Anolis sagrei: one gene and its partners. The protein of the gene in region 1 purifies or fractionates together with the protein of each later gene. This does not show direct contact. Links are inferred from orthologs where the notes say so. Each region holds a gene or a part of one and is shown on either strand. Other genes may lie near its edges. The genes, in order: TXNDC9, TUBA1A and tubulin alpha-1C chain.

Evidence for each region.
Region 2: the proteins of TXNDC9 (region 1) and TUBA1A purify together in Homo sapiens (affinity purification with mass spectrometry; 3 studies listed by BioGRID and IntAct, counting the BioPlex papers as one, with this or other methods). This does not show direct contact. The link is inferred for Anolis sagrei from reciprocal best matches to the Homo sapiens genes TXNDC9 and TUBA1A.
Region 3: the proteins of TXNDC9 (region 1) and tubulin alpha-1C chain purify together in Homo sapiens (co-immunoprecipitation; 3 studies listed by BioGRID and IntAct, counting the BioPlex papers as one, with this or other methods). This does not show direct contact. The link is inferred for Anolis sagrei from reciprocal best matches to the Homo sapiens genes TXNDC9 and TUBA1C.

Annotation. Positions count from the first base shown.
Region 1 is NC_090023.1:102,691,193-102,701,619, reverse strand, and holds the start of TXNDC9 (thioredoxin domain-containing protein 9), read left to right. Parts: upstream 1-5,699; 5' UTR 5,700-5,932; intron 5,933-7,203; 5' UTR 7,204-7,236; coding exon 7,237-7,413; intron 7,414-8,712; coding exon 8,713-8,831; intron 8,832-10,427. UniProt on the Homo sapiens protein: Significantly diminishes the chaperonin TCP1 complex ATPase activity, thus negatively impacts protein folding, including that of actin or tubulin.
Region 2 is NC_090022.1:145,790,920-145,801,707, forward strand, and holds the start of TUBA1A (tubulin alpha-1A chain), read left to right. Parts: upstream 1-6,246; 5' UTR 6,247-6,390; coding exon 6,391-6,393; intron 6,394-9,987; coding exon 9,988-10,210; intron 10,211-10,788. UniProt on the Homo sapiens protein: Tubulin is the major constituent of microtubules, a cylinder consisting of laterally associated linear protofilaments composed of alpha- and beta-tubulin heterodimers.
Region 3 is NC_090022.1:145,730,855-145,741,139, reverse strand, and holds the start of tubulin alpha-1C chain, read left to right. Parts: upstream 1-5,732; 5' UTR 5,733-5,885; coding exon 5,886-5,888; intron 5,889-10,285. UniProt on the Homo sapiens protein: Tubulin is the major constituent of microtubules, a cylinder consisting of laterally associated linear protofilaments composed of alpha- and beta-tubulin heterodimers.

The DNA of each region.
Region 1 (10,427 bases):
TCTTGCACTACATCCCATGCCCTCCTCCCATGGCTGTACCTTTGCACTTCTCCCATTCCCTTGCTCGTTGTTTACCCTCTGGTAATGGTTACAGTAGCTTACCACCAGAAGTGCATCTTTTTAAAATGAGTTTTAAATTGTTTTATATGCTTGTTTGTTTTATTTAATTGCATTTTATATTGTGTTTCATTTTATACTGTTTTAAGGCACTTTTGTGCTGTGTGTAAGCCACCTCAAGTCACTTTGGGAAGATGGTAGTGGGACACAAGAATAAAGTTATTCTATTGTTATTATCCAGCCCCTGCTTAAAAACCACCACATTCTGTGGGTCTAAGGGCACAAGAGTTCTCCCCTATAAATGGAGGACTCCAAATAAAGAAATTGCCTTTTTTTGTCCCGAGGAGAACACCTCTCTAGGAATGTCTTTGTTTATATGGAGGAAGTTGGCCACAGAGTCACAGTGGAGGACCTAAAGATTCCTAGAAATAATTCTTCTTGGTACTGGGTTGCTTTGGGTTTTCCGGGCTGTATGGCCATGGCCCAGAAGCATTCTCTCCTGACATTTCACCATAGATGTGGTGAAAGGTCAGGAGAGACTGCTTCTGGAACATGGCCATACAGCCCCGAAAACTCACAGCAACTCAGTGATTCTGGCCATGAAAGCCTTTGACAACACATCTTCTTGGTACTGTTCAATTATCCTGGCGGAGACCACTAGGGGGCACTAGAGAGATAATTATAGCCCATTTTATGGGGAGAGAGTTGGAAGAGGAAAACCATTTCCCCTGTTTTTGCTGGTTTTTCCCTCTCCCCCGTCCCATATCATAAATAAGGGTTGTTTCCACAACAGAGACATGGGTGATGGGAATAACAGGAACACAAGGAGAAATGGTTTTCCTCCTTCAACCCACCCTCCACCCCCATAAAATTTATTATCCTTCTCTAGTGCCCCCAAGTGCCTGGGTAATGGAACACTACCCTTGTGACGATGTGTAACTTCTATTCTTATGGTTATGTGTTGTTTAAACAGTAGTTAATAAATTGTAAGTATGTAGGATTATATTTTGTTAGAGATGGTGGCTAGTGGCTTGAACTGAGTTGCCATAGCAACGGGGGCGGAGCCAACTATCACTTCACGGCGCAGCTTTTTGAAAGTGGCAGTCTGTAGCCGGTGTGCTACAGGGAAAACTGAATCTCTGGGTGGAGATTCAGGGAATTAATTTGTGACCAAAGGGGTTACAAAAAAGGACCCGGTAGTGATAAAGCTACAGGGGGTTATTGATTCTGGATTAAGAATCAAGGTTTGGCTGTGAGCCAATTCTATTGAATAGGCCTTTTGGCTTATTTGTTTTGTTGGGACAGTTGTCCAGGAAAAATACTTCTGCGTATAGAAACCTCTTGAAGTCTGTGCCTTAGGTTACTCATGAAACCTTACTAATGTAACCAGTCAAGATTCGTGCCTCTTGTGAAGAAACAATCAAATCTGATATACCTTGCTTGTTCTAATAAAATTGTTACTGTTCTCCTCAAGCCTTGCCTGATACAGTTTCTCCTAAGTTGAACAGCCTGCAATAGTAAAGTCAAGCCAGGAAAGTAAACGCTACACTATCAAATAAATAAAGCCTTCTGTAATTAACAGTCCCTTTATGAAATAGCTCCTAGGTTGATATTGATCGTTGCCTGGCTTCCCTCATAGATTAGGTGGCAGTGGGTGTTTTACCACTCACACCTTCACATTCGGTGGCATTCGGTGGCATTAAAACGGTCTTCTTCACAATTGGTGGCAGCAGTTTAACAACTTCTTCACAACCCTCTTCTTTAAATCAGATCCATAAGTGATCAAAACCACCAGTATGACAGAATGGCTGTAATATTATCTCTCCCCGTGTGTGTAATGTGTTGAAATAGTATATATAGATATCCCTTTGAAGTTGTTTTATGTTTTTGAATTGTTGACACATTATGACACATTATAAACTGCATTAATTCTTCGGTGTAGCTGTACCTTCAAAATGATCTATGATGTCCCTAAATTAAGAGACAAAGTCACAGTGCAACTTTCCATTACAGGAGAAACTAAATTTGTGATACAGGAGAAACTAAATTTGATTGCAGAGATAGCTGCAATCAAATCATGGCAGAAATATCAAAAGAGGCCCAGGTGAAGGCAGGAAAGAAAGCATGGTGTTAAAGCCAGGAAAGAGAACATAATATTAAAGGCAGGGAGCTGGTTGCCTTTGGGTTTATAAAGCATTGAAGTCCATTTAATCATACAGGCTTGTCAGCTTTTGCCCTAAATGCATTCCCAACTGGAAAAACAAACTGAGATACCAAGAAAGAACTCAGTTTGCATCTACTAATTTGTGGGGATCCTTTAATTAAAATGCACTGGAGCACTGAAATGGGTTATATTTCTACATTAACTATAGGGTCTCATTTCCAAGTATTTCTTACACTTTACAGCCGAAGGTGACTTAAAGAGAGGCCTTTTAACATAGGAAACAAACAACAGAGATGTATTTGATAATCCTTCCAAGTACACTGGCTCCTGCATATAACTGGGGTTATTGCCATTTCAGGGTGCATCTACACTGTAGAATTAAGGCAGTTTGGAATTACAAGCGCCCCACCCCCACCCCACCCAAATATTTATAGACAATCATGAGACTAAACAAGTTAGATGACATTTCCTTTTTATTAAAACACTAGCCATCCCCTGCCACACATTGCTGTGGCCCTGTCTTTGTATAAGTGTTTTGTGTGTGTATATATTTGTGTATATGTGTATATGTGTATATATGTGGTTTTGCACATGCATTGTAATGTATTATTTATTATTTGGCTTTTTAAGTCTCTTCCACTGTGTTTTTCAGTGTTTTTATGAGTGATGGTCACTCGTTGGCCTGAGAGGTGTTTTGTGTCCAAATTGGGTGTCGATTCGTCTAGTGGTTTTTGAGTTATGATAAGCCCACAAACGAACATTTGTTGTTGTTCATTCGTTCAGTCGTCTCCGACTCTTTGTGACCTCATGGACCAGCCCACGCCAGAACTCCCTGTCAGCTGTCACCACCCCCAGCTCCTTCAAGGTCAGTCCAGTCACTTCAAGGATGCCATCCATCTATCTTGCCCTTGGTCGGCCCCTCTTCCTTTTACCTTCCACTTTCCCCAGCATAATTGTCTTCTCTAGGCTTTGCTGTCTCCTCATGATGTGGCCAAAGTACTTCAACTTTGTCTCTAGTATCCTTCCCTCCAGTGAGCAGTCGGGCTTTATTTCCTGGAGGATGGACTGGTTGGATCTTCTCACAGTCCAAGGCACTCTCAGAACTTTCCTCCAACACCACAGCTCAAAAGCATCTATCTTCCTTCGCTCAGCCTTCCCTAAGGTCCAGCTCTCACATCCGTAGGTGACTACAGGGAATACCATGGCTTTGACTAGGCGGATCTTTGTTGCCAGTGTGATGTCTCTACTCTTTACTATTTTATCGAGATTGGACATTGCTCTCCTCCCAAGAAGTAAGCATCTTCTGATTTCCTGGCCACAGTCTGCATCTGCAGTAATCTTTGCACCTAGAAATACAAAGTCTGTCACAGCCTCCACAATTTCTCCCTCTATTTTCCAGTTGTCAATCATTCTTGTTGCCATAATCTTGGTTTTTTTTATGTTTAGCTGCAACCCGGCTTTTGCGCTTTCTTCTTTCACCTTGATTAGAAGGCTCCTCAGCTCCTCCTCGCTTTCGGCCATCAGAGTGGTGTCATCTGCATATCTGAGGTTGTTAATGTTTCTTCCAGCAATTTTCACCCCAGCTTTGCATTCATCCAGCCCCGCACATCGCATGATGTGTTCTGCATACACGTTAAAAAGGTTGGGTGAGAGTATTACATTACATTTTTATTTATATAGATTTTCCACAGTTCCCGAGTTGCAAAATACTAAAGCACTAGAACTGACGTAACTGCAGCTGAACCTTACAAACCCTATTAGATCTAACCCATCAATGAATGTTAAACTTGAGATTTTATGTGTAACTTGTATCTTTTATGTACTGTGTCAATTTCTACAAGTATAAATTATATCAGATGAAGTGTTTCAAAATGTATCCATGCCTTCAGTTTTCACAATCTCTTGGAAAAGGAAACCACAGCCAGGGTGGTTTCCTAAACCAGATAAATATTAAAATCCTTTGTCTGTGTGTGTGTGTGTGTGTATGCAGACCTCTTTGTCACCAGGGTAACCAGGGTAAGATCCTCTTTGTCACCAGGGTAAGCTCGGGATGTTTCTTTGTTTAGCTTGAAGCAGACAGTCCACCTCTCCCACAGAAGAGGGGGCTCAGTAAATATTACTCTAGTAACTCTGAATGGGAACAGCCAAAAGCCTTGATTCTCTGTGGTCGTCACTTTTGTGGGTCTTGCACACTTTGTCTCACATGGAACTGGACACTTGACTTAACCAGGGACTCATCAGCATACCCACATCATCATTTCCTCCTGGATTGTGCCCTCCCAAGTGGTGTCCCTACAACAGACTAACTCTTTAAACCAGGGGTCCACAAACTTTTTAAACAGAGGGCCAGGTCACAGTCCCTCAAACTATTGGAGGGCTGGATTATAATTTGAAAAAACATGCATGAATTCCTATGCATACTGCACATATCTTATTTGTATTGCAAAAACACTTTAAAACAATACAATAATTAAAATTAAGAACAGTTTTAACAAATATAAACTTATTAGTATTTCAATGGGAAGTGTGGGCCTGCTTTTGGCTGATGAGATAGGATTGTTGTTTGCTTTCAAATCGTTTCAGACTTAGGTTGACCCTGAGCGAGGGCCGGGTAAATGACCTTAGAGGGCCGTATCCAGCCCCTGGGCCTTAGTTTGAGGACCCCTGCTTTAAACTGAGTAACTTCCAGCTCTCTTTCTTCCCACCACAAGAATCCCCACCTGTAGGCTGTGACATCAAGAGAACTCTTGGCTAATCTGAGTGTGGATCCTAGCCTGCCTCTTTTTCCAGCCAATCAGGGGAGGGAGCAGAAAGTCTGAATATCTGTGAGAACTGTATAAGATGTCTTGTATTTTTCTGTAAATTTATGTTTGCACCTTTGGAAGCGCATTGCTTGTACTCGTTCCCTATTTGGCCACATTGTGATAAACCTCTGTAGCTTCGCCTTCAACCCACCACACTTTTGACAGGAATGGCTCAATGTTTTGTAATCCTGGGATCTGTAGTTTGACGAAGCACCATTACTGCCTGGTAGAGAAGGCTAAAGGCCTTGTCAAATTACAATCCCAGGATGCCATGGCAGTTCAGACGATGCCAAACTGCAGTCCTTCTAATCTACAGTATTGATGCACCCTTTGGAGTAGGCTGTTAGGAATTGTGGGAGTTGAAGTCCAAAACACCTGGAGGGCCCAAGTTGGCTCATGCCTGCTCTGGAGAGTCTGAATGTTGATGCCAAAGGTTTAGCTTTCAATGTCAGTAAAAGTGCTAATAATTTAATCAAGTTTTCACAAGCGACACGAATATCCAATAGTCTATTGTTCCTAGAGAGGAACCCTGTGGCTCTTTCTGAACTCCCAACTCCTTGTGAAGCGCAAGGCATTCTGGTCCTTGTAGTTTGCAGCGATGCGGAAGTCCTGGGAGCGGTTCCCTGGCGCATTGCATGCTGGTCCTTGCAGTCTCTCTCCCCCTACGTACGGTTGAAAAACAAAGCTTGGAAGAAGACGCAGGACGAGATTCTGGATCACGCATGCGCAATAAAGGCCAAGCCGCTTGACGACCAATTCGTGCGTCAGTCACCAAACGTCTTTAGGGCGCGTCAGGCAACGGCTCGGAGGCGTTTCGCCGGCTGGAGAGAGGAAGAGAGAGGCCTCCGCGGAACGAAGCCGTTTCAAGCCGCGTCCGCACTACTTCGGGCGTTTGGCCTGTACTGCGGTGAGTCACCAGGTCATGGCTTCCGAGGTGTTGCCCTGGATGGGCGCCCTGATCCGGTTTCGTCCCGGCTTTAGGCCCGGTCTTTGGGAAGAAGGTAGAAATGGGGGCCGTAGAAACCACCTTCTGGGCCTCCATCTACACTTGAACATAACGTAGTTTGAAACTGCATTATATGGTCACTCCATGCTCATATAATGCAGTTCAGTGCCGTTAAACTACATGAATCTATCCCAGGCAGGGCCCTCCCTCCAGGTGTTTTGGACTTCCACTCCCACAATCCCTAACAGCCTCAGGCCCTTTCCTTTTCTTCTCCTTTTCCCCCTCAGCTGCTTAAGCCTCCAAGGAAGAGACTTCCAACACACCGAGGCAAAGAGTTCCACTGCTGAACAATCAAGAAGTTCTTCCTAATGGGGGGGTCCAACTTGGGCCCTCCAGGTGTTTTGGAGTTCACCATTCCTAACAGATCCTTTCCTTTTCTTCTCCTTTTCCGCTTAAGCGTTTGAGGGGGGGGGGGAAGGAAACGCCCTGAGGCTGTTAGGAATTGTGGGTCTTGAAGTCCAAAACACTTGGAGGACCCAAGTTGACCCATGCCTGATCTATACTGACCATATAAAGCCGTTTCAAAAAGCAATGTGGACGTGCCCAGAGTTGCAGCCCCTTCCTCTGAGTCTTATTCATTCCTCTTAATTGGCTACAACAACTTCTTTTAATTCAAGATTTTTCTGCATAGTGTGCTTTGCCATTAGCACACAGCTCTAGGCTCAAAGCAACGTGACGTTTTCATGCTATTTGGATATTTTCCTTGTGTCTCGCTAGTTATTTACTGATTTGGAAAGACATCATTAGACATACACATTGTCAGAGTTTGATGAAGCTCATCAAATAGATTAGTAAGGTCAAGGTTTCCCTTGGCATTAGCAGTTCGAAAATATGCAAATGTGAGTAAATCAATAGGTACCACTCCAGCGGGAAGGTAGCAGCGTCCCATGCAGTCATGCTGGCTACATGTCCTTGGAGGTGTCTATGGACAATGCCAGCTCTTTGGCTTAGAAATGGAGATGAACACCACCCCCCAGAGTTGGAAATGACTAGACTTAATGTGAAGGGGAAACCTTTACCTTAACTTTAGAATAAACTGGTACAATCAAATTTTCAAAAGATAACAAAAAGCTTGAATTAATCCTGTGTCTTGGTCATTAGTGAATGTGAATGAAGGTCTAATTTCATTTCATGGTGTCTAGCTCTGACTTAAAAACCTACTCTTTTTCCAGATTTAATGTTTCTGTAGTCTATGTAAAGGAGAAATGGCTGCAGACATGTTTTCAAAAGCTCTGGAGGCTCAGATGCTTCAGACAGCTAAGATTGTAGAAGAGCAACTGGATGCTGAGATTCAAAAACTTGATGAAGTGGATGAAGATGAACTGGAAATCCTAAAGCAAAGAAGGCTTGAAGCACTGAAAAAAGCCCAGCAACAGAAACAAGTAAGCAAGGATTTTAGGAAACTATTTGAAAGTAATACCAACATTAGTAGGGACTTTTGTATGACAGAGGGTGCCAGACTTTGGTATGTTACAGACATTACTTGAAAAATGTCCAAATAAAAGAAGGCATGATGTGTACACCAGAGCTCGCTGTATAGGTGGAAAACCTCTTTTCCAGAATTCCAAAACCAAGAATCCTCTAAAATCCAAAACTGTCCACACAGGGGACTAAGATTTTGATGTTACTTTTTGATGATTCAATGTACACAAAGTTTGTTTCATGCACAAAATTGTTAAAATATTGTGTATAAAATTATCTTCAGGATAAGCATATAAGAAACATAAACATGTTTCATGTTTAGATCTGGGTCCCATCTGCAAGGTATTTAATTATGTACATATATGTAAATTTTCAAAAGAAAATTCAAAACACTTCTGTTCCCAAGCATTTTGGGTAAAGGATACTCAACCTGTATGTCAACGTTTTAGCCAAAAATCTGAAACTTTTTCAAGGCTGTCTTACTGGGGGGGGGGGGGGGGGACTGGCTGGTGGGAATCCTGTGGTGCTGCCCTATAACTCCCAATAGATGCAGTCAGCATAGGCAAAAGTAGGGAATACTGGCATCTGCAGTCCAACAAACTGCACTGTCACAAGATTCTCACCTTTAAACTAAAACCTACATTCATTTTCCTGGTAAGTTGGGATTGCTATAAACAGACATTCTGTGTTGTTGTAAGGACTCCCCCCACCACCACCTCGCATCTTGTTGGTCTTTGGGGTGCTAGAAGATCCCATGTTTTCTGCTCCAACACACCAACTGCATTCTCTCACTTGACTCATTTATTAGTTACTGAAAACAGTATTTTAACATTAGATTGAAAGCTGACATTTCCTGAAATGAATTACTCACTGATAAAAAGGTCTGAAAATCAGGCAGTTTTATATCTGATGTAAACAATATGTAAGGGTGAAATATCTTTCATACTTTTTCTTTAGAACAGAGCTCGTTGGGTAAAGTTCATAGGACTGAACTGCCAAATAAAACATGCATAAGTTGGCATTAGGAGCCTACATCTTAGATGTCAGCCCCGACTCTTAAATGTATTTGTCCTTTTAGAATTGATGCCTTACTAATCTTAGATATAAATTGAGAGAAGGAAGCATGCAGCACTCTGCATGATTCATAGAATTGGGCTTCTTATGACTAGTATACTTATTTTTTAAAATCAGGGGATGCTATTTGTCTCATTCCATAAATAATGCGTAGAAATGTTATGCTAACTGGTTGTATTAAATAGGAGTGGCTTTCAAAAGGACATGGAGAATACCGGGAAGTCCCCAGTGAGAGAGACTTTTTTCAGGAAGTGAAAGGAAGCAAAAATGTGGTTTGCCACTTTTACAGAGATACCACTTACAGGTATAGTATGTGCCTTGTGGCATTTTATAGTATAAAATGCTTAGTAAAAGAGATTATCAATTGAAGATATTGCAGATAGGTTGTGGAAATGCCATTTTCTTAGAACTAATTACCTAATCTGGTGCCCTTTTTTGGCTAGTAATTAAACCTCAATTTGAATTTCTGTGCATTTACATTATTATTATTATTATTATTATTATTATTATTATTATTAATAGACCCTATCTCCCCGAGGGGACTCAAAGCAGTTTACACACAAAAGAAAGGCAAACATTCAATGCCCTTTATTTATTTCTCGTGTCAGGGCAGCCAGTCAATTATATTACATTTCTAACAGAACAAAGCAAACAATGCCCTGAAACAAATACAAACACCTCAAAAATACAAAAGAATAACAATAAACATGACAAACTTTGTAAGATATATGCATGCTCTTGCTTTCTTGACCCCTACTTACTTGATCCCTGCTGGTTATCCAGGGAGGAGATGCAATTAGATTTCAGATACAACAAATTTTCAGTGCATCTCTCAGGAAAGGGAATTTTCCATCCTGTTTAAAAGAAGAAGTAGTTAGACTGCTACTGAAAAAGCCCTTCCTGGATCTTAATAATTACAGACCAGTGTCTATTCTCCCTTTTTTGGGCAAGGCGATTGAAAAGGCAATTGCTCTCCAGTTCCTGGTAGTCTTGGGCCCCTTCCACACAGCTGAATAAAACCCCCATTTTCTGTATTGAACTGGAATATATGGCAGTGTGGACTCAGACAACCCAGTTCAAAGCTGATATTGTGGGATTTTCTGCCTTGATATTCTGGGTTATATGGCTATGTGGAAGGGCTCTTGGATGACAAAAATGTCATTGACCAATTTCAGACAGGCTTCAGAGCAAGATGCGAACTTGAGATGGCTGTGGTCTCCTTAGTGGATGATCTCCATCGCAGCACCAACAGGGGGAGTGTGTCCCTGTTAGTGTATCTAGACTTATCAGTGGCTTTTGATCCCATCAGTCATGGTATCTTTCTAGAACACCTGGAAGAGCTGGGAATCAGAAGCACTGTACTGCAGGGGTTCTGATTGTACCTCACAGGCAGGTTACAGATGGCAGCACTTGGGGATAGCTACTCCTCAGAAAAGGAACAGTTATGTGGCATTCCACAAGATGCCATTCTATCTCCATGAAGCAACTAGGAGAGCTCATCCATAGGCATGGGGGGTTGTTATCAGTATGCTAATGACAACCAAATATATTTCTCCATGGCTTCAAAAACAGCTGTAGCATAGCATATAGCAGAGGTAATGAGTTGGATGAGGGCAAACAATTTAAACTGAATTCCGATAAGGCAGATGTGCTTGCCATCAGGGCTTCTAACCTGGGGGTGGAGGTGTGTCAACCAGTTCTGGATGGGGTTAAACTCCCCCTGAAAGGCTGTGTTTGCAGCTTGGGAGTGCTCCTAGACCGTTTCTCCAAATGTCTGCCCAAGTGTATGCGACGGTCAGGAGTGCTTACTATCAGCTTTGGCTGATATGCCAGCTGCGCCCCTTCCTAGATTTGGAGGACCTTAAGATGATAGCGCAATCACTGGTAACCTCAAGATTAG
Region 2 (10,788 bases), on another chromosome or scaffold:
GCATCTTCCTTCTGGACTTCCAACTGGCCTCTGCAAAACATTGGCTAGAGGGAGCCCTTGGCTGATCCAATAGTTCTATTCCTATCTATGCTCATCATGTAATCCAGCCAAACCTTACACAACTGAAGTTGAGTTAGAACCTCCCATTCAGGATGGCATGATGTCCAAATTGTCACAATTATACATTTATAATAATACAATTGTTGTTGCTGTTGTTGTTTTTGTGTGTCGTCAAGTCATCTCTGACTTATGGTGACACCACCCTAAGGTTTTCTTGGTCTGATTTGTTCAGATGGAGCAGGACCAATGTTTTCACAGCATGACTTGCCCAAATCCATCCAGACAATTTCCATCGCCGGGCAGAGATCCCAACTCTGGTCTTCCACAGTCTTGCTCCACCACTCAGACTTGCTCCACCAAAAAATAGAACCAAGTATTTTTATATATCTCAGGAATTAGTATCTTTGGTCAATTTGAGAGCCCTTTTAGCTTCTGAATTCCTGCCACCTCCCCTATGCTGCCATATACTCCCAAAATTCAGGGATGCAGGAACAACCAGAAACAGAGGAATGCTTCCAGTTGCTAAAAGCACCCTTTCCTGTCAAAAGAAACTCAGGGAGCACACACCTTGTTTTGGAGGCAAACGGTTTCAGTGGGGACTTCTTTTCTAAAACAAGGCTCTGCTTGCAGTTTTTGAAGCTTTTGTAAGCTGTTTCAAAGAGACCATTGATTGAGAAAGGTGGGTTGGGAAAATGCTTTCATTATGATGAGATAAAAGACCTGCAACAAAAGGGACACTTTTACTATTTCTTCCTAATAGGAAGCTTTTTAAAAAGCTAGGACATCTGTTTTGAAAAATATTTGCAGCTCTCTTACAGACATCTGTCATGTGCCTGAACCACTTGCAAAAAGGCAAGTGTGGCCACACACTGGGACTTAAGACTTCATTCCACAATGAGCTCACTATCTTGGCATAGAAAGGCATTGCTGAGACTTTATACTGCCTTGGTAGTCTACATTAGTAACTATCACCAAGGATTAAATTTAGGGTGTATTCCACAGATCAAAAGATCAATTTTTATAGGTCTAAGAATAAAATCGGGGGCTGCGGTGGCACAGTGGGTTAAACCGCTGAGCTGCAGAACCTGCTGACCAGAAGGTGGAAGGTCAGTGATTCAAATCCGCAAGACAAGGTGAGCTCCTGTTGTTAGCCCCAGCTTTTTCCAACCTAGCAGTTCGAAAACATGCAAATGTGAGTAGATCAATAAGTACTGCTTTGGCGGGAAGCTAATGGCGCTCCATGCTGTCATGCCAGCCACATGACCTAGGAGGCATCTACGGACAACGCCGGCTCTTTGGGTTAGAAATGGAGATGAGCACCACCCCACAGAGTTGGACACAACTAGATTTAATGTCAAGGGGAAACCTTTACCTTTACTAAGACTAAAATAACAACAAAAGTAAGACATTTTTGTTGTAATCTGCTTCAATATCTTAACATGTTTATTTTTATTGGGTAGTGTTTAATTAGATCTTACTTCAAAGCTGAGTCTTTCTCTCTCTTAAAAGCCATGCTATAAACCAGAATTTAATTATTCTGATAACTTGTCCAATCTATGGCAAATCTCCTTTTCCCAGCTTCGCATCTCGACCTTGCTGGTAAAGAAGTGTGTAATGCCACTGCTCAGAAATACAGCTCATCATTCAGGGAGTGGTATAGGATATTGGATGTGAAGCACTGGAGAAGGCAAATGCAGCATTTTGCAGTACGAGGCGGGGAATCTATCACTGCTGTTGCACATTCTCTTTGTTCCCAGATAGAGTTAACCTATGCATATTTCAGTGGCTCCCAAGATGCAAATCTCCAGATTTGCTAATGTACAGCAATTGTGCCCAAACCAGGTGCTCATGCCAATTTGATCTATTTCATGTGTTTGTTGTAAGGGAGATTGGCTACAATTAAATATTAATGCTCACCTGGTACCAACTGAGAATCCTGGCGCAAATGACGCTCCTCCGCATACAGACCTGTTTTTATCACTAAACATCATCAAATACTTTAGGATATTTTTTGTTTTTAAAAAGAGGAAATCTACCAATGCACATTAAAAAATAAATATTTCAGACTAGACACCGACAATTTGCAGACCTTGGTCTAATTTCAAAAGCCCACGGGCAGATTCAGACCTCTGGCAAGAACAGTCTGTCCCTCCCTTGGCAACCCACTGGGGAAAGAAAAAGGGGAGAGAGGTGTAGGAAGGACACAAAGAAAGAAAGAGAGAGAGAGAGAGTTTCTTTAAGTCTTATGGTGACCAGTGCAATGTAGTAACACTAAAACAAGAGAAAGGGCAACTGACAGTCCATCAAAATAGTAATTGTCAGAAGCTGTGCTGAGGGAGGGGAGCAGAGACGCTAATGAACTGGTAAAAGATCAAAGTCAAGGCCCAACCTTTCCAATTAAGCAGGATATAATTCAAACAAATACACAAATAAATATATTGTGGTGTGCTCATAGGAAGAAGCAGAACCAGTTCTACCGTCAGGCACCCCCAAATTAGCAGTTCTGAGCTTTCACAAACTGCAACAAATTGTTAGGTATTTGGTTAGCCTGCTTGATGTCGAAACAACAAGGCTTCTTGACCAGAGGTGAGGAGGGAGAGCTTTGCTGCTCTGCCTCAGAATGCACCTACACTGTAGAATTAATGCAGTCTGGCACCATTTGGCTCCATGCCATGGAATTGTGGAAGTTGCAGTTTTACAAAGTCCTTAACCAAACTACAAGCCACAGGATTCCATAGCACAGAGTAATGGCACCTAAAGTGGGGCCGGGATGGCACAACAAGGTAAAAAACTCTTGAGCTGCTGAGCTTGCTAACTTGAAGGTTTGCAGTTCGAATCCAATAGACGGGGTGAGCTCCCACTATCAGCCTCAGCTTCTACCAACCTAGCAGTTCCAAAGCATGCAAATGTGAGTAGATCAATAGGTACTGCCTCAGCGGTTAGGTAAAAGGGTGCCCCACGAAATCATGCCGGCAACATGACCAGGACAACACAGGTTCCTCGGCTTGAAATGGAGTTGAGCATCTCCCCCGGAGCCAGAGACAAGCACTGCCTCCAGAGCTGGAGATGAAAGGGAAAGCCTTTGCCTTTGTCTGTGTATTTGTGTTTAATTATGTGTTTCAAAGGCACTGAATGTTTGCCTGTGTCTGTATATATGCTGGAATCCACTCTGAGTCCCCTAGGAGAGAATGGGCGAAATATAAATATATTATTATTATTATTATTATTATTATTATTATTATTATTATTGAGCCCCCGGTGGTGCAGTGGGTTAAACCCCTGTGCCAGCAGGACTGAAGACCAAGATGTCGCGGGTTCAAATCCAAGGAGAGGCGGATGAGCTCCCTCTATCAACTCCAGCTCCTCATGCGGGGACATGAGAGAAGCCTCCCATAAGGATGATAAAAACATCAAATCATCCGCCTGTCCCCTGGGCAACGTCCTTGCAGACAGCCAATTCTCTCACACCAGAAGTGACTTGCAATTTCTCAAGTTGCTCCTGGCATGAAAACATTATTATTATTATTATTATTATTATTATTATTATTATTATTATTATTAAACTGGATTGAATCCATAGCATAGAGCCAGCCTAAATGGGATTTATAATTTTGTGGGGCTCCAGCAGTCTCTGGCAGAGAAGGTGAAATGACACCTGCCATAATTCTATAGCATGGAGCTATAGCAGATAAAATGGTGTCAAACTGCATTAATTCTACATGCACTCACAGTCAGCAAAAGACATTGGTTCGGTACAGAATGGAGGCTGTCATTTTGCACAGAGGAATAACAGAACATAGTAAGGCAGGCTTAAATAAGATAGACTCGAGCAAATGGGTGTGATTGTAAAGGTTGGAAATATTCAGAAGATGGAGACAGGCAGGGAAGAAAGGAAGTGTTTGGGTCTCTCTTGGCAAAGAAAAAGAAGGCGCCAGGCCCGCCTTCTCCACCTGCTGCCTCTCTTTCCCTCCGCTCCCTTCCTCCTTCTGGCTTGCCAGACTAGTAGGAGGCAAGTAAGTGGTGGGAGGAAAGGCGGGAGAAGAGCCGGGAAAAATTGTGCTTGCTGGTGCTGAGAGAATAATTCACCGTTATGTGCCGTAACTGACTGGGGGTGCTTTGCGGGTATGCAGGCCACGCCTTGCCATACTAGCAAAAGAAAAGGATGAAACTCTGAGTGTGCTTTTGAAAACAGGTGCCAGTTTCTTTCCAGTTTCCATAGAATCAGAGCACTGGAAGGGAGCACAAGGCTCATCCAGTTCAACTCCATTCTATCATGATGGCACACCCAATCAAAGCACTCCCAGCAGATGGTCATAAACCTCCAGAGAAGGAAACTCCACCACACTCTGAGGCGGAATATTCCACTGTCAAACAGCTCTTACCACCAGAAAGCCCTTCATAAGGTTCAGGTGGCAACTCTTTTCCTGTCATGTGAAGCCCCTTCCACACAGCTGAATAATGTCCCACATTTTCTGCTTTGAACTGGAATATGTGGCAGTGTAGACTCAGATAACCCAGTTAAAAGCAGGTATCCTAATGTCATTTCCTAATTTGTGAAAAATTCATTCTCATATATGGCATCCACTATCATCGCATCATATACAAGATGCTGGGTCCCTCCACACAGCCCTATATGTGGCTGTTCCAGTGTGTCTTCCCAGAACAGGAATCTCCTAGCATCATGTCCCAAATGCACTTTATTACAGATTTAGATTGTCTGCACACCGCACTTATCTCCAAAAACCTACCCATTTCACCTGTCAGGTCCAGCATTTTTTAAATTTTTATTCATTACATTTGGCCCGGCCTCAGTTTTAAATGCGTTGTGGTGTTATTGTCTAATGTTTATTGCTATTGTTTTTAATGTTTATTGTTTTGCTTTATGAGTTATTTATTGTTGTATTCCTATGCTGTTGTTTTATTGATGTGTTGGGCCTTGGCCTCTTGTAAGCTGCACCGAGTCCTTCAGGAGATGTTAGCAGGGTATAAATAAAGGTTAATAATAATAATATCCCAGAATATCAAGGCAGAAAATCCTACGTTATCTGAGTGTGGATTCAGATAACACAGTTCAAAACAGATATTGTGGGATTTTCTGCCTTGATGTTCTGGGATATAGGGCTGCGTGGAAGGGCCCATATAGGACCCCTTTGTGACTTTTGGCATACCCAGTATATAGACTCACTTACACACACATATTATATTTACTTAATTCTAAGACACCTTTTCACCCATAGAAATCTAAAAATGGGATGCATCTTAGGGCCCTTCCACAGAGTCATATAAATCAGAGTATCAAGGCAGATCATCCACAATATCTGCTTTGAATGTGTTATCTGAGTCCACATTGTCATATAATCCAGTTTAAAGCAGATAATGTGGGACTATATACAGCTGTGTGGAAGGAGCCTTAGCTGCATCTTATGTATTTTTTGTGGGTAGTACTGAAATTAGTGTGTGTTTTACAATCAATAGTGTCTTAGAATCAAATAAACACACACACACACATATATACATATTTATTTATTTATTGTTTATTTATTTACTGCATTTCTATGCCCAAGGTGACTGAAAGTAGCTTACACTGGCACGATTCAATGCCACAATAAACATAAATAAAATTAAGACAATCAACACACATTACAACAAACCCTGTAAAAACATTAAAAGCATAAAACACCAGTTACGTCCTCTTAGCTCATTTTCCAAAGACATTTCCCATTTTGTCTTTGCTAGCAGGTGGATTTAAAGGCATGGCATGACCCTTTCCTGGGTCCCTGCAAAGAGGAGGGGTTGGGTCATAGTGATAAAGGGCTGGCATAGGCTTTACTATTTGTCCTGAGGAACAAACCCGCTTCTTCTCCCCCAAGTGCTCTACCCTCTTGCAAAACCCGTCCTTCCTCCCCCCTCCTTGCTCCCCGCCCGCCTGACCCCTCCTTTTGGCGCGCCCAAGGGGAGGATGATGGATGCCTGGTGATGATGATGATGGCGAGCCCTTCTTCGGCTTGGTCCCTTTGTCTGGAGGATGCAGACAGGCTTGGGATGCTGAGAAAGGAGGGGGCGGGGCGATGACCTCATCCTATGCGCCCTCAGCCAATCGCCTTCCTCCTCCCGTCCAGAGCGGGGGGCGCTTCGGCCAATCCCAGCCCGCCCCGGCCCGTCCCCATGGTGACGGGGTTGTATATAAGGGGCCCGCGTTGGCCCCGGCGCGACAGGTTCTCTTACATCGACCTCCTAAGAGTCGCGCTGTAAGAAAGGCCCCTCTTCCTCCCTTCTTCCCCGGGTTCCGCGCCTCCACGCTCCGCAGCAACAACAACAACAGCAGCAACCATGGTAAGACGCGCCCGCCGGGTGGGGGCTCCAAGGCCGCATCCACACAGCGGAATGGACGCAGTTTGGTACCACTTTCACCCTCAAGGCTGTGCAATCATGGGGAGAGGGGAGGGGAGGGGGGCTCCCTCCCCTTCCTTCCTCGATTCCTTTCCTTCCTCCCTTCTCCCAGGGTGCATCTCTTCTCCACTGTCCAATTCCTGCAGTCTGACCCCCTTTAGCTGCCTTGGCTCAATGCTATGCAGTCCTTGGTCATTTCACCAAAGCACAACCCCCAGGATGCCATCGCATTGCGCCAGGGCGGCTAAACCGCATTAGTTCTCCAGTGTAGACCCGCCCCAAACCTCTGCTTGGGAGGGAGGGAGGTGGCTGGACCAGCCTGAGAGACTGAACCGCATCGAAAAGGGCTTTGCTCCTTGCCATTCAATCCATTCCTTCTCTAAGCTCATGCCTTCCTGCCTCGGAAAACGCCAAAGGGAAATCCGATTGGGGGGCGTCTGGTGGGCTTTCCGAATCAGCAGGACGGCCATTGGGTTGTTGGGAGCCCCCTTGGTAGGATACGCCCTCTGATAGGTAGGTGGGACGTTTCTCCTTCCCAAGAAATGCATCCGGAGGTATTAGGATACGCCCCTGGGTGGCTGGACCTTTTGGGGTGGGGTCTCTTTCTCCTTCCCAATAAAGGCATTGCTATCCAGCCCCATATCCCAGAAGATCAAGGCAGAAAACCCCACAATATCTGCTTTCAACTGGGTAATCTGAGTCCACACTGTTTGGATTTTCTGCCTTGATATTCTGGGATATAGGGCTGTGTGGAAGGGCCCCAGGGTGGAGGTCTCTGTGTTGGGATGACTGTGTCAGTGGGAAGACAGGGAGGGAGGGGCCAGCATGGAGGAGCTGCTGAGAAAAAGCCTGGGGTCTCACCCAAGGAGGAGTGCCTGGACTGCCCAGCCCCTCTGCACGGTTCCATAGGGGTCAGTCCAGTGGGGCATGACCCTCCCTAGATAGGCACAGGGCTTGTCCTCTCATCTTTCAGGGCCCTTCCACACAGCCCTATATCCCAGAATATCAAGGCAGAAAATCCCACAGTATCTGCTTTGAACTGGATCTGAGTCCACACTATTGGGATTTTCTGCCTTGATATTCTGGGGTTTAGGGTTGTGTGAAAGGGCCTCTGAGGCGGGATTGCAGTGTCAGTGGGAAGACAGGGAGGGAGAGAGGAGGGAGGGGCCAGCATGGAGGAGCTGCTAAGAAAAAGCCTGGAGTCTCCTCCAAGGAGGGGCGCCTGGACTACTCACCCCTCTTTACTGTTCCATAGGGGTCAGTCCAACTGAATCCACTGGGACCTGACCCTCCCTAGATAGGCAAAGGGCTTGTCCTCTCCTCTCTCAGGGCCCTTCCACACAGCCCTATAGCCCAGAAGATCAAGGCAGGAAATCCCACATTATCTGAGTGTTGGACTCAGGGCCCTTCCACACAGCCATGTAACCCAGAATATCAAGGGAGGAAATCCCACCATATCTGCTTTGAACTGGGTTCTCCACACTCAGATAATGTGGGATTTTTTTGCCTTGATATTCTGGGATATAGGGCTGTGTGGAAGGGCCCCTTGTGTGGACTCAGACAACCCAGTTCAAAGCAGATATTGAGGGATTTTCTTCCTTGATATTCTGGGGTATAGGGCTATGTGGAAGGGTCCCCAGTTGTAGTGAATGGAGGAGAGGCTGCCTCATTGGAGAAGATGGGAAAGTGTGGGGGGGGGGGTTCCTAAGCCATGCCCTGGCTTTGCAGCATGGCTCCCATAAGGATAAAGAGGGGCCTTGTGAAAGGAAGCCCTGCAAAGGGGCCAGCTGGAGGGAGGATCACAGGGACAGAGCTTCCCCACTCCTTCCTTCCCTCCCTCCCTAGAGGCCAGATGCCTTGAGGCAAAGAGGTCCCTCCATGAATAGGAGGCAGGAGGGGATGGCTGACCCAGCAGACAAAGAGGGAGGCTCCCTTGGCAGATGTGACCCGAATGTAATTAAGCCACAGACAATGCTGCAGCCCAAATGTGTGGGGGTTTCTGCTTCCACCAAGCCCCTTCCACACCAGTCTGCTCTGTGCCCACCACTTTTTAGTCTGCAGCATTCTCAATGCATTAAAAGGAGATGGGAACAACTTCTTATAATTTTATTTTTCTTATGTTGTCCATATCAGACACGCGTCCCTAATATCAGAGCCAAAACAGACACTCGTCTCCATTCATCATCAGGCTTTCTTGCCATGAATTTGTCTCCCGATTCAATCCTCAGCACTGAATGATTTCATTTTCAAGCATGATCTCCTCTGAGGTCAGAGGAGGGAAAATAAGAAAAACAGCATAATGAGATCATGCTGGAAATAGACCCGGCTGTGTTAATCCATTGCGGATTGCAGCAGTCAGAGCCAACACAGGCAGCCAAACAATGAGGAGGAGCTTGTTCCTACCACGGAGTGTATCCCTAGTCTTCCTGGGCAGGGTGTGGCACAGGCGGGCTTCTCTCTCACCAAATGACATTATTCTGCAGTACAAGGAATGCAGAATGAGCAGGTTCCTGCAGGTGGGCACCTCCACCTGCAAAGTCAGCAGAAAAGCCCAGGGCAAAGTGGTCACAAATCTCTTTTGTTTTCTGGAAATGTGGTCTCTTCCTAGTCTGGGAGGCTAAACATTAATGAATAGTAATTTTGAGATCTACTGATGGAATAAATCAAGCAAAAGGAAATTTGGATCAGGAATGCAGTGATCACAGCTTTAGAGTAGTCAGGAACAAAGGGTGGGTGTGGCAGCCTGGCATTGAAAGGTATGATCCCACCACTAACTCACTACACTTGTCATTGGCTTACCTTACTTTAGCATTGAAGGCTTTGGTGGCTTCTCTCCACACATATTTTTATTTTTATCCTGATTTGAATGACATGATTTTGAACAATGAACTCATACAGATTGAACATCCCTTATCTCCTATTCCAATATAGTGACACCTTTGCTTTCTGATGGTTCAGCGTACATACACCATTCTTCACACACACATTTATTAAAATATTGCATATAAAATTAGCTTCAGAATATGAATATAAGGTGTATATGTAATAAAATGGATTTTGTGTTTAGACATGTTTCCCGTCTCCAAGATATGTCATTATGTATGGCAAGTGTTCCAAATTTTTTAAAAAAAATCCAAGAATACTCAACTTGTAGTAAGACTTGAACAACAGTGAACAGAAAAGTGAGAAATACCTTGGAATATCCAGAGATATTCCAAGACTTTGGGGAAACGCCCATCTCCAAGATACATCATTATGTCTGTGTATGCAAATACAGGTATACCAAGATTCAAAAAGTCTGGACCAAACACCTCCTGTGCTAAGCATTTCAGATAAGAGGGACTCAACATGAAACTGTTACATTTATCTGTCCTTTTTGCCTCGTGAGCATTCATCAGATGCTCTTAGGCACCTGAAATCTTTTTCCAAATGAAAGAAGTATAAGAAATTTCTGATATTTTTGCTTAATCAAAAAGACAGGTTGTTCAAAAAGTACTCGATTAAAAAAGTGCATTTATGCCATTTCCACACTTTTAGCGTGAATGCATCTCTATCCACGTTGGCCAAGCCGGAGTCCAGATTGGCAATGCCTGCTGGGAGCTCTACTGCCTGGAACATGGCATCCAGCCTGATGGGCAGATGCCCAGCGACAAGACCATTGGGGGAGGAGACGACTCCTTCAACACTTTCTTCAGTGAGACAGGAGCTGGCAAACACGTCCCCAGGGCTGTCTTTGTAGACTTGGAACCAACTGTGATTGGTGAGTGCAAACTCCATCTTCCCATGTACTAACAAATGTAGCCGTATAAAACTGATGACCTCTAGATATGGATGATTAGAGTTGTATTCCAAATACTGTGGGTGAGAAGAGTTGTATTCCAGATTCTCTGGGGGAAGGGGCACCAGGTTGGAGAAGGCTCAGACTCGTAAGACATCATCAATTTATAGATAAAAGAAGATTTACTCCTTTTACTTATCACATTACTATCTAACCTCATCTTATTTGTGTTTCATCCTCCCCACTTTATCCTCCCAACATAATTCTAAAAATGTTGCATTATAACTGCTTATAGATATCTCAGTGCATCTCTCTTTAAATTAAGAATCCTGATTTCCATAGACACCAGTTAAAACTATCAATATGAAGATCTAATAGTGTAATTGATATTTTTCATCATACACATATCTGATGGTGAAAACAAAACGAATAATATGTCTTGTCAGATAATCCCTTAAAGAAATAACAACCTTGCAGGCAATCCCTTTGCAATAATAATACTAAGAATAATAACTTTATTCTTACATCCTGCCCCCATCTCCCTGAAGGGACTTGGGGCG
Region 3 (10,285 bases), on another chromosome or scaffold:
GCGTTCCCAGAATGTTTAGCACTGTGGAAAATGAGGTGCTGAAAATAATCCTTACCTTTGAAGATGCCAGCCACAGATGCAGGCAAAACAACAGGAGAAAATGCTGCTAGAAAACGCCATACAGCCTGGAAACCATACAACACCCCAGTGATTCTGGCTGTGAAAGCCTTTGACAAGACATTAATTCTCACCTCAAATCCTGGAGTGGAGCCACGGTGGCATAATGGGTTAAACCCTTGTGGCTACTGAACTGCTGACCTGAAGGTGGGTGGTTCGAATCCATGAGACTGGGTGAGATCCCGTCTGTCAGCCCCAGCTTCCCATGCGGGGACATGAAATAAGCCTTCCACAGGATAGTAACGCATCCAGGCATCCTCTGGGCAATGTCCTTGCAGATGGCCAATTCTCTCACACCAGAAGCAGCTTGCAGTGTATTCTTGGGTTGCTTCCGACACAATTAAAAACAAAGCCTAAAAAACATAAAATTAAAACAGGGCAAATAAAAATTAAAACAGTGTACAACCAACATCATAAGCAATAATAAAACAGACATCATAAGCAACAACCAGAAATACTTCTAGTCTCATTTTGGAGGGGGGGAGGGGGGCTGGTGTACAAACAAGGTGGAGAATAGGCTGGTCAAAAAGATGGATAGAATATATCACAGCATAAGAATAGAGCAGTTGTAATAGGATCCCTCAGTTCTTGTGGGTTTTTTCGGGCTATATGGCCATGTTCTAGAGGCATTTCTCCTGACGTTTCGCCTGCATCTATGGCAAGCATCCTCAGAGGTCTGTTGGAATTAGGACAAATGGGTTTATATATCTGTGGAATGGCTGGGGTGGGGCAAGGAGCTCTTCCCTGCTGCAATTAGGTGTGAGTGTTTGGCTAATCACCTTCATTAGCATTTGAAGGCCTGCTTGAACCTGGGAAAACCTGTTGCTGGGAGGTGTTAATCTGTGCCTGGTTTCTTCCTCTCTGTTGTTTAGCTGTTATAATTTTAGAGTTTTTTAATACTGGGAGCCAGATTTTGTTCATTTTCATGGTCTCTTCCTTTCTGTTGAAATTGTCCACATGCTTGTGGATTTCAATGGCTTCTCTGTGTAGTCTGACATGGTGGTTGTTGGTGTGGTCCAGCATTTCTGTGTTTTCAAATAATATGCTGTGTCCAGGCTGGTTCATCAGGTGCTCTGCTATGGCTGACTTCTCTGGTTGAAGTAGTCTGCAGTGCCTTTCATGTTCCTTGATGCGTGTCTGGGCGCTGCGTTTGGTGGTCCCTATGTAGACTTGTCCACAGCTGCATGGTATACGGTAGACTCCTGCAGAGGTGAGAGGATCCCTCTTGTCCTTTGCTGAACGTAGCATTTGTTGGATTTTCTTGGTGGGTTTGTAGATAGTTTGTATGTTGTGTTTCCTCATCAGCTTCCCTATGCGGTCAGTGGTTCCCTTGATGTATGGCAGGAACACTTTTCCTCTGGGTGGATCATCATCTTTACTCTCGTGGTTTGTTCTTGGTCTTGCAGCTCTTCTGATGTCTGAGATGGAATATCCATTGGCCTGGAGAGCCCAGTTGAGGTGGTTCAGTTCATCTTGGAGGAGGTGGGGTTCGCAGATTCTTTTTGCACGGTCTGCCAAGGCTTTGATGGTGCTTCTTTTTTGACTTGGGTGATGGTTGGAGTTTTTATGTAGATATCTATCTGTGTGTGTGGGTTTTCTGTAGACGGTGTGACCCAATTGTTGATCTGGTTTGCGGATGACTAGGACATCTAGAAAAGGTAGTCTTCCTTCATTTTCTTTTTCCATGGTGAACTGGATGTTTGGGTGGATGCTGTTAAGATGGTCCAGGAACCTGTTGAGTTCTTCATCTCCATGGCTCCAAATGGTGAAGGTGTCATCCACATATCTGAACCATATCGTGGGCTTTTTGGTTGCTGTCTCCAGGGCTTGTTCTTCAAAGTGTTCCATGTAGAAGTTAGCTATGACTGGGCTGAGAGGGCTCCCCTGAGATGGAGTAGCTATGGGGAGCCCTCTCAGCCCAGTCATAGCTCCCCATAGCTACTCCATCTCAGGGGAGCCCTCTCAGCCCAGTCATAGCTAACTTCTACATGGAACACTTTGAAGAACAAGCCCTGGAGACAGCAACCAAAAAGCCCACGATATGGTTCAGATATGTGGATGACACCTTCACCATTTGGAGCCATGGAGATGAAGAACTCAACAGGTTCCTGGACCATCTTAACAGCATCCACCCAAACATCCAGTTCACCATGGAAAAAGAAAATGAAGGAAGACTACCTTTTCTAGATGTCCTAGTCATCCGCAAACCAGATCAACAATTGGGTCACACCGTCTACAGAAAACCCACACACACAGATAGATATCTACATAAAAACTCCAACCATCACCCAAGTCAAAAAAGAAGCACCATCAAAGCCTTGGCAGACCGTGCAAAAAGAATCTGCGAACCCCACCTCCTCCAAGATGAACTGAACCACCTCAACTGGGCTCTCCAGGCCAATGGATATTCCATCTCAGACATCAGAAGAGCTGCAAGACCAAGAACAAACCACGAGAGTAAAGATGATGATCCACCCAGAGGAAAAGTGTTCCTGCCATACATCAAGGGAACCACTGACCGCATAGGGAAGCTGATGAGGAAACACAACATACAAACTATCTACAAACCCACCAAGAAAATCCAACAAATGCTACGTTCAGCAAAGGACAAGAGGGATCCTCTCACCTCTGCAGGAGTCTACCGTATACCATGCAGCTGTGGACAAGTCTACATAGGGACCACCAAACGCAGCGCCCAGACACGCATCAAGGAACATGAAAGGCACTGCAGACTACTTCAACCAGAGAAGTCAGCCATAGCAGAGCACCTGATGAACCAGCCTGGACACAGCATATTATTTGAAAACACAGAAATGCTGGACCACACCAACAACCACCATGTCAGACTACACAGAGAAGCCATTGAAATCCACAAGCATGTGGACAATTTCAACAGAAAGGAAGAGACCATGAAAATGAACAAAATCTGGCTCCCAGTATTAAAAAACTCTAAAATTATAACAGCTAAACAACAGAGAGGAAGAAACCAGGCACAGATTAACACCTCCCAGCAACAGGTTTTCCCAGGTTCAAGCAGGCCTTCAAATGCTAATGAAGGTGATTAGCCAAACACTCACACCTAATTGCAGCAGGGAAGAGCTCCTTGCCCCACCCCAGCCATTCCACAGATATATAAACCCATTTGTCCTAATTCCAACAGACCTCTGAGGATGCTTGCCATAGATGCAGGCGAAACGTCAGGAGAAATGCCTCTAGAACATGGCCATATAGCCCGAAAAAACCCACAAGAACTGAGTGATTCCGGCCATGAAAGCCTTCGACAATGTAATAGGATCCTTTTAGCTTAAAAATACAGTAATCAAATACAGGAACTTGATTTTTGGCCATGGTTAGGGACCATCTGTCAAAGGGATCGTCAGTGGAACATCCATGTCTTTAATTCCTTACAAAATGTGGATTGGGAGGGTGCTAACCTCATCTCCCTAGGGAGGAAGTTCCAGAGATGAGGGGCCACCACCGAGAATGCCCTTTCTCTCATCCCCACCAACCGCGCCTGAGATGGGGGTGGGAGTGAGAGAAGAGCATCCCCAGAAGTTCTTAGAAACCATGTGGGCTCGTAGAGGAGCATGCGGTCACGAAGATAGGCAGGTCCTGAACTGTTTTGAGTTTTATAGGTAATAACCTGCACCTTGAATTGGGACTGGAAACTTATTGGCAGCCAGGGAGCTGCAGGGGGGGGGGGGGTTGACTTGCAATCTGGTCGCTGACCTTTGCACTAACTGTAGTTTCCGAACCATCTTCAAGGGCAGCCCAAGGTAGAGTGCATTACAGTAGTCCAATTTTGAGGTAACTAAGGCGTGGACCACCATGGTCAAGTCAGACTTCTCGAGGTATAGTTGCAGCTGGCACACAAACTTTAACTGTGTGAAGGCTCTCCCAGCCACCGCCAATACCTTAGCATCAAGTGTCAGTGCTGAATCCAGGAGGACCCCCAAACTGTGGACCTGTGTCTTCCAGGGGAGTGTAACCCCGTCAAACACAAGTTGCCACCCTATACCCCGTTCAGCCAAGAGACTGATTTGGAGGACATCTGTCTTGTCAAGATTCAACTTCAGCTTGTTGGCCCCCATCCAGCCCATCACAGTGGCCAGGCACTGGTCCAGGATCCGAGGCAATCTTCTGCCCTCCAGGAGTTTTGAACTTCAACTCCCACCATTCCTAAAAGCCTCAGGGAAAAGGAAAAGGCCTGAGGCTGTTAGGAATGGTGGGAGTTGAAGTTCAAAACACTTGGAGGGAGGGCCCAAGTTGGACTTGGCCTGCTCTAAAGTCTCCACAGAAGGCAGGCTCATTGGTTCTGCCCTCAGCCTTGGCACAGGGGTCTCGTTGGCTTTTGGAGGGGCCACCACAAACAAACCCCTTCCTTCCCTTTCTTTGCGTGTGTGTCAGAAATGCAAGCAGAGCAGCCCTGCTCTCTCTCTCTCTCTCTCTCTCTCTGGGGAATGTGCTGTGATGGCATTTTGGGAGAAGAAACAGCCCAAACAGCCCCTTTCAGCCAGCTCCTCCTCCTTCTTCCACTGTGCTCACCATTTTTTCCCTCCTCAAAGACAAAGAAAGAGCGTTATACTGGGTTGTTTTGAGTTTTCCAGAAGCATTCTCTCCTGACGTTTCGCCTGCATCTATGGCAGGCATCCTCAGAGGTTGTGGAAAATGGGGTCATGGAAAGCCTTCGACAATACAGTGTTTATATTCCCGCCCTATTTTCTTTTGAAGCTTTTCTTTTGATGGAAATAACCCGGAAGTAGCGACTGAACGAATAAACAACATACACAACTAGGGAAAAAAATCCGGTTTCTGCCTCCCGCAGAATGCTGGGGTTTGTAGTTTAGGGAGGAGCCTTTAACAGCCTCCTTAAACTACAAACCCCAGAATTCTGCAGGAGGCAGAAACCGGATTTAAAGTGGATTCATTCTCAAGTGTGAAGTAGATGTGGAAAGTTTGTATCCTTCAAGAAAACCCCAAGACTCAGCTAAGGCTGCATCTACACTGAGGAGTTAACGCAGTTTGGCAACACTTTTAAAGTGTCCTGGCTCAATGCTTGGGAGCTGTAGTTTCTCAAGAGGAGAACTGGTGTTTCCCTCAAACGATGGTGTCTCCTGGAGATTCCGTCTGAACATTAGGAAGAACTTCCTGACTGTGAGAGCTGTTCAGCAGTGGAACTCTCTGCCTCGGAGTGTGGTAGAGGCTCCTTCTTTGGAAGCTTTTAAACAGAGGCTGGATGGTCATCTGTCGGGAGTGCTTTGAATGCAATTTTCCTACTTCTTGGCAGGGGGTTGGACTGCATGGCCCATGAGTTCTCTTCCAACTCTATGATTCTATGATAACTCTGGATTCCATCGCAATTTAAAAGCGCTACCAAACTGGGTTAATTCTACAGTGTGGATGGCCGCTTGGCTCACTGCCTGTCTCAAGGACCGCCCCACATTCAGGACTATTCGAGTTAAGATATTAAGGCAACCCCCTCCCCAGAGGAAAATTCGAACCCGCCAATTAGAGACAAGGGATTTTTGAAAAAAGGGAGGGGAGGGGGAGGGGAAATGCCTGTCTGCTGTAGCCCCGCCCCCGAGGCACAAAGCCCCGCCCACGCGGTTATAAAAGGCCGCGCCTTAGTCGTGGACGGGACCAGATCAGAAGTTCCTGCTCACTGGAGGCTCCCTTGACGAGTCGGTCAGTGAGGAAGACTTTCGCCTTCCTGACTTCCTTCTTCCTTTTCCGGCTTCTGTCTCTTAAACCTAAGCTCGCCCAGAAACATGGTAAGTGAGTGAGTGAAAGAGCCACACTTGGGGAAAGGAGACCCTTCGGCAGAGGAAGAGGGAAAAGTTCTGGAGAACTCTCAGGGTTGGGGAGCATTCAGCCAGAGCCGCTCAAGGGGTGCCAAACCGCCTTAATTCGACGGTGTGGATGTGCCCCTTTTCTTCTTCCTGCTCCTGGAGCTTCCCCAGAATATGTAGCAGTGCCTCTCCAGGTCGAGAAGGAAGGAAACTCCTTCTGCCGAACTTAGTCGCCATTTCTCCCTGCACACGTGTCTCGTGGCGTGGTCGGAAGGGACATGGTGGGAGTCGAAGTTCAAAATACATGGAGGGCAGAAGACTAAAGTGGTCAAGGGTCTGGAGAACAAGCCCTATGAAGAGCGGCTTAAAGACCTTGGGCATGTTTAGCCTGAAAAATAGAAGGCTAAGGGGAGACATGATATCCATGAATAAATATGTGAGGGGAAGTCATAGGGAGGAGCGAGCGAGCTTGTTTTCTGCTGCCCTGGAACAATGGCTCCAAACTACAAGAAAGGAGATTCCATCTGAACATTAAGAAGAACTTCCATACTGTTCAGCAGTGGAACTCTCTGCCTTGGAGTGTGGTAGAGGCTCCTTTGTTGGAAACTTTCAAACAGAGGCTGGATGGCCATCTGTTGGGGGTGCTTTGAATGCAATTTTCCTACTTCTTGGCAGGGTGACTGGATGGCCCATGAGGTCTCTTCCAACTCTATGATTCTATCTAGGGCAGGACCTGATTGGCAGGGCTTCAGAGTCTCAGGAGACAGATATAGCACGACTTTTGTTCCTGGGTTAGAAATGTAACTTCCTAATTGGTGTTATCATAAAAACATGGGGAAAGTTTATTAAAACTGCAATAACTTCATTTTGGCGGGACATCCTGCTGTACATTTTACTATAATTTTCCCATGAATATCTCATCTATTCAGCCTAGTCTGTGGCAGCCGCAAAACTCAAGTTTCTGGAGTGTAACAACTCCTTTCAAAGTAAATTCTGCACAATTAAACAGGAAATAACACTTGCAAAGCAGGGATAACTTTTTTCAAATTCTGTTACATAGTAGTGTTATTTGGGCAGGGTGCCCAGATCACGCCTAGCTGCTTTGTGGAGTTGGCTCTTCCCAAATGAGCTGCTCCTTTGTTTAGCTATGCTTAAGCGGATGAGGGGGAAAAGGAAAGGGCCTGAGGCTGTGAGGAATGGTGGGAGTTGAAGTCCAAAACACCTAGAGGGCCCAAGTTTGCCCATGCCTGATCTACACTATAGAATGAATGCAGCTTGACGCCACTTTCACTTCTATAACTCAGTGCAGTGGGATCCGGGAAATGTAGTTTGTCAAGTACTGTATCCTTCTCTGCTAAAGAATGATAGCGCCTCGTCCCCAAAGTAAAACTCCCAGGATCCCATATCATTGAGCCATGGTAGTCAAAGGCGTGTCTATACTGCATTCCTTCTCCAGTGTGGATGTACTCTTGCGCTCTCTCCTGGCAGTTTTTGCAGGAAGTAAATGAGAAGCGGAAGCTTTAGGCTTTCTGTATCTGCCAGAGTTTCGTTCCAGGATCTTCAGATCCACGGCTGCTCTAGTCCTATAGTCAGATATCTCTTCAAAGTACTGTATATCCCACCAGACTTTGGGACTCCTTCAGTGTGATAAAGAGTGAAATAATGTTCCTTAATCTAAAATTACAAAAAATAAAAAATGCCTTTTGGAATTAATTTATGTTCAAATACTTTAACCCTGGAATGGGCAAACTTCACCCCCTCAGGAGTTTTGGACTTCAAGTCCCATAATTCCTAACGGCCTATAGGCTGTTAGGAGTTGTGTGAGTTGGAGTCCAAGACATCTGGAGGGTCAAAGTTTGCCTGTGCCTTCTTTAAGTCAAGGATGGTTTTGTCCATGGTGCTGAGGACTGACTTTATATAAAGATGAGTGGAGAGAATAATTCGTAATGGTGAGTGCACAAGAAGGGCAGAGACTTCCAAGTGGAGCCATTCCAAAGCGTTTGACTTCCTGAGGCAAAATGATGCTCGTACCTATGACCCAGAGCCCCTGGTGGCGCAGTGGGTGAAACCGCTGAACTGCTGAGCTTGTTGACCAAAAGGTCGCAGGTTTGAATCCAGGGAGTGGCGTGAGCTTCCACTGTCAGCCACAGCTTCTGCAAATATGAGTAGATCAATAGGTACCGCTTCTGCGGGAAGGTAACTGTGCTCCATGCAGTCATGCCAGCCACATGTCCCTTGAAGTGTCTACGGACAATACCAGCTCTTTGGCTTAGAAATGAAGATGAGCACCAACTCCTAGAGTCGGACACAACTTAACTCGGGGGAAAACCTTCACCTTATCTATATCCCAGTTCAGGGAGCACCACTAGCCTGAGGCCACTGGGCAGTGCCAGATGTACCATTGTGCTTAAGCACAGGGTCCCATTGGTGGCGTGGGGGTGGGGAGGGGATCATCTTCCTGCACGATATTTTTTTTCCTTGTGTGGTGCAATTTGAAATTTGAAGGCTTTGTGTTTTGGAGGAATTTCAGAATTCCAGACTTCATATCTCCACGTGTTTTGGTCCTCAACAGTTGGTAGGCTGTTAGAAATTGTAGGAGTTGAAGTCCAAAATACCTGGAGGGCCAAAGTTTGCCCGTGCCTGATTTATAGTCTATGGGAGTGCGCCAGCAAGCAGGCAGTATAGACCTACTGGACTGACCTTTTTCAAGGCCCAAGGAAGGGGCCTCGTGACTAGCACAGGGCTTCATTTGTCCTAAACCCGGCACTGTCACTGAGTTGGCCAAGGCAGAGAATCTCATTATGCGTTGCCTGCTCACAGTGTCTGTGGATCTTTTCATAAATGTTATTCCCCAAATTAGTTCACTCTTGTCTGGTGGGGGAGCAGAAAAAATGCTAGTGGGAGATAGGGCCACGTTAACTTGCTTTGAGCGGCAGAATATGCCTTTCTCCTGGTTCCTGCATAGCAACCTGGTTGGTCACATCATCTTCCTGCCCTCCATTCCCGTTTGTGAATCATGTCCGCTGAGTCACTTTTCAGGGAAGGGGCCATTCAGAGGGGTGGCTCTGCCTCGGAGGGAGGAGACCCACCAACCCCAGAGCAGGCCTGAGAGGAGATGTGTGGAACGGCTCTTATTTCAAATATACCTCTTACTTCAGTTGAGCAAACTGCCTTGTGAAAATTTCCTTATACTCACCTTTTTTTTAAAAAAGTTGGTTGCCTATCCATGGGTTCACCATTTACAGATTCCACCACCAGCAGCCTTCAAAAATCCAAAACCAGACCTTGGTTTTGCCACTTTATATACAGGACACCATTTTACAATACTATTTGATCGAAGGTCCAGCCTTTTACCATGCCATTTTATATAATGGGATTTGCGCATCCTTGGATTTCAGTATCAGTGAGAGCCCTGGAACCAAACTCTGGCAAATATTACTGGGCTGCTGTGCATGTGGGGCATGCTTTAAGCCAGGCCTGAAACACAATAAATGTCTTGGGAGAGTGGGTTGAGCTCCCTCTGTCAGCTCCCCAAAGGGAAGCCTCCCACAAGGATGGTAAAACATCAAACATCCTTTTGTCCCCTGGGCAATGTCCTTGCAGATGGCCAATTCTCTCACACCAGAAGCAACTTGCAGTTTCTCAAGTCACTCCTGACACACAAAAAGTTGAAAGTGAAAGTGGCTCATTTTGAATAGCCTTGCTTCTGCAAAGATATTCCGTAAGGGATTCTATAGCAGAACATGACTTGAAGCTAGCTGTGAAGCAGCAGGGTGAAAGTTAAGAACAATTTCATGGATGTGCATCTCAGTGGAAAATGCAACTCTGAAGGATGGAATAGCTCTGTTGTATGACTCAGTGTGATAACAGGAGAGTGCTAAAGATGCAATTGAAACCTCCATTTTAAAAAGCATTATATTGCTTAATCACACAATCTTAAGTCGATTCTAAAAAATCTACCATGATTGAGAATGAAGTGGAATTTGCTATTTCAAAGTTGGGAGGATCATACATTCTGTAGAAGCCTATATAAAAATTTGCTGTTAAGACTACTGAAGTAGAAAATTTCCCGAGATCTCCCTCTGGGCTTTTCAGTGACATGCTATCGAATCATAAAGGGCAGTTACTACATGAGATGTGACTACTTCCATATGCTTGGTTTATACTTTGGATTCTATGCATTTCCAGAACATCATATGACTCTTCTCCTACAAAGCCTGCCATATCATTACACACAGTGAGGCAACCAATGAGGTAGCAATAGCCAGGTTCTTGGTTTCTTGTCTCAAAATCCCATCCATTCTCCTTTGTCAGTGTATTGAGTTGTGTGTGCCCCACAAGCCTGCATTTTTGTCTCATAAGATGTCCTGTTGCCTGAG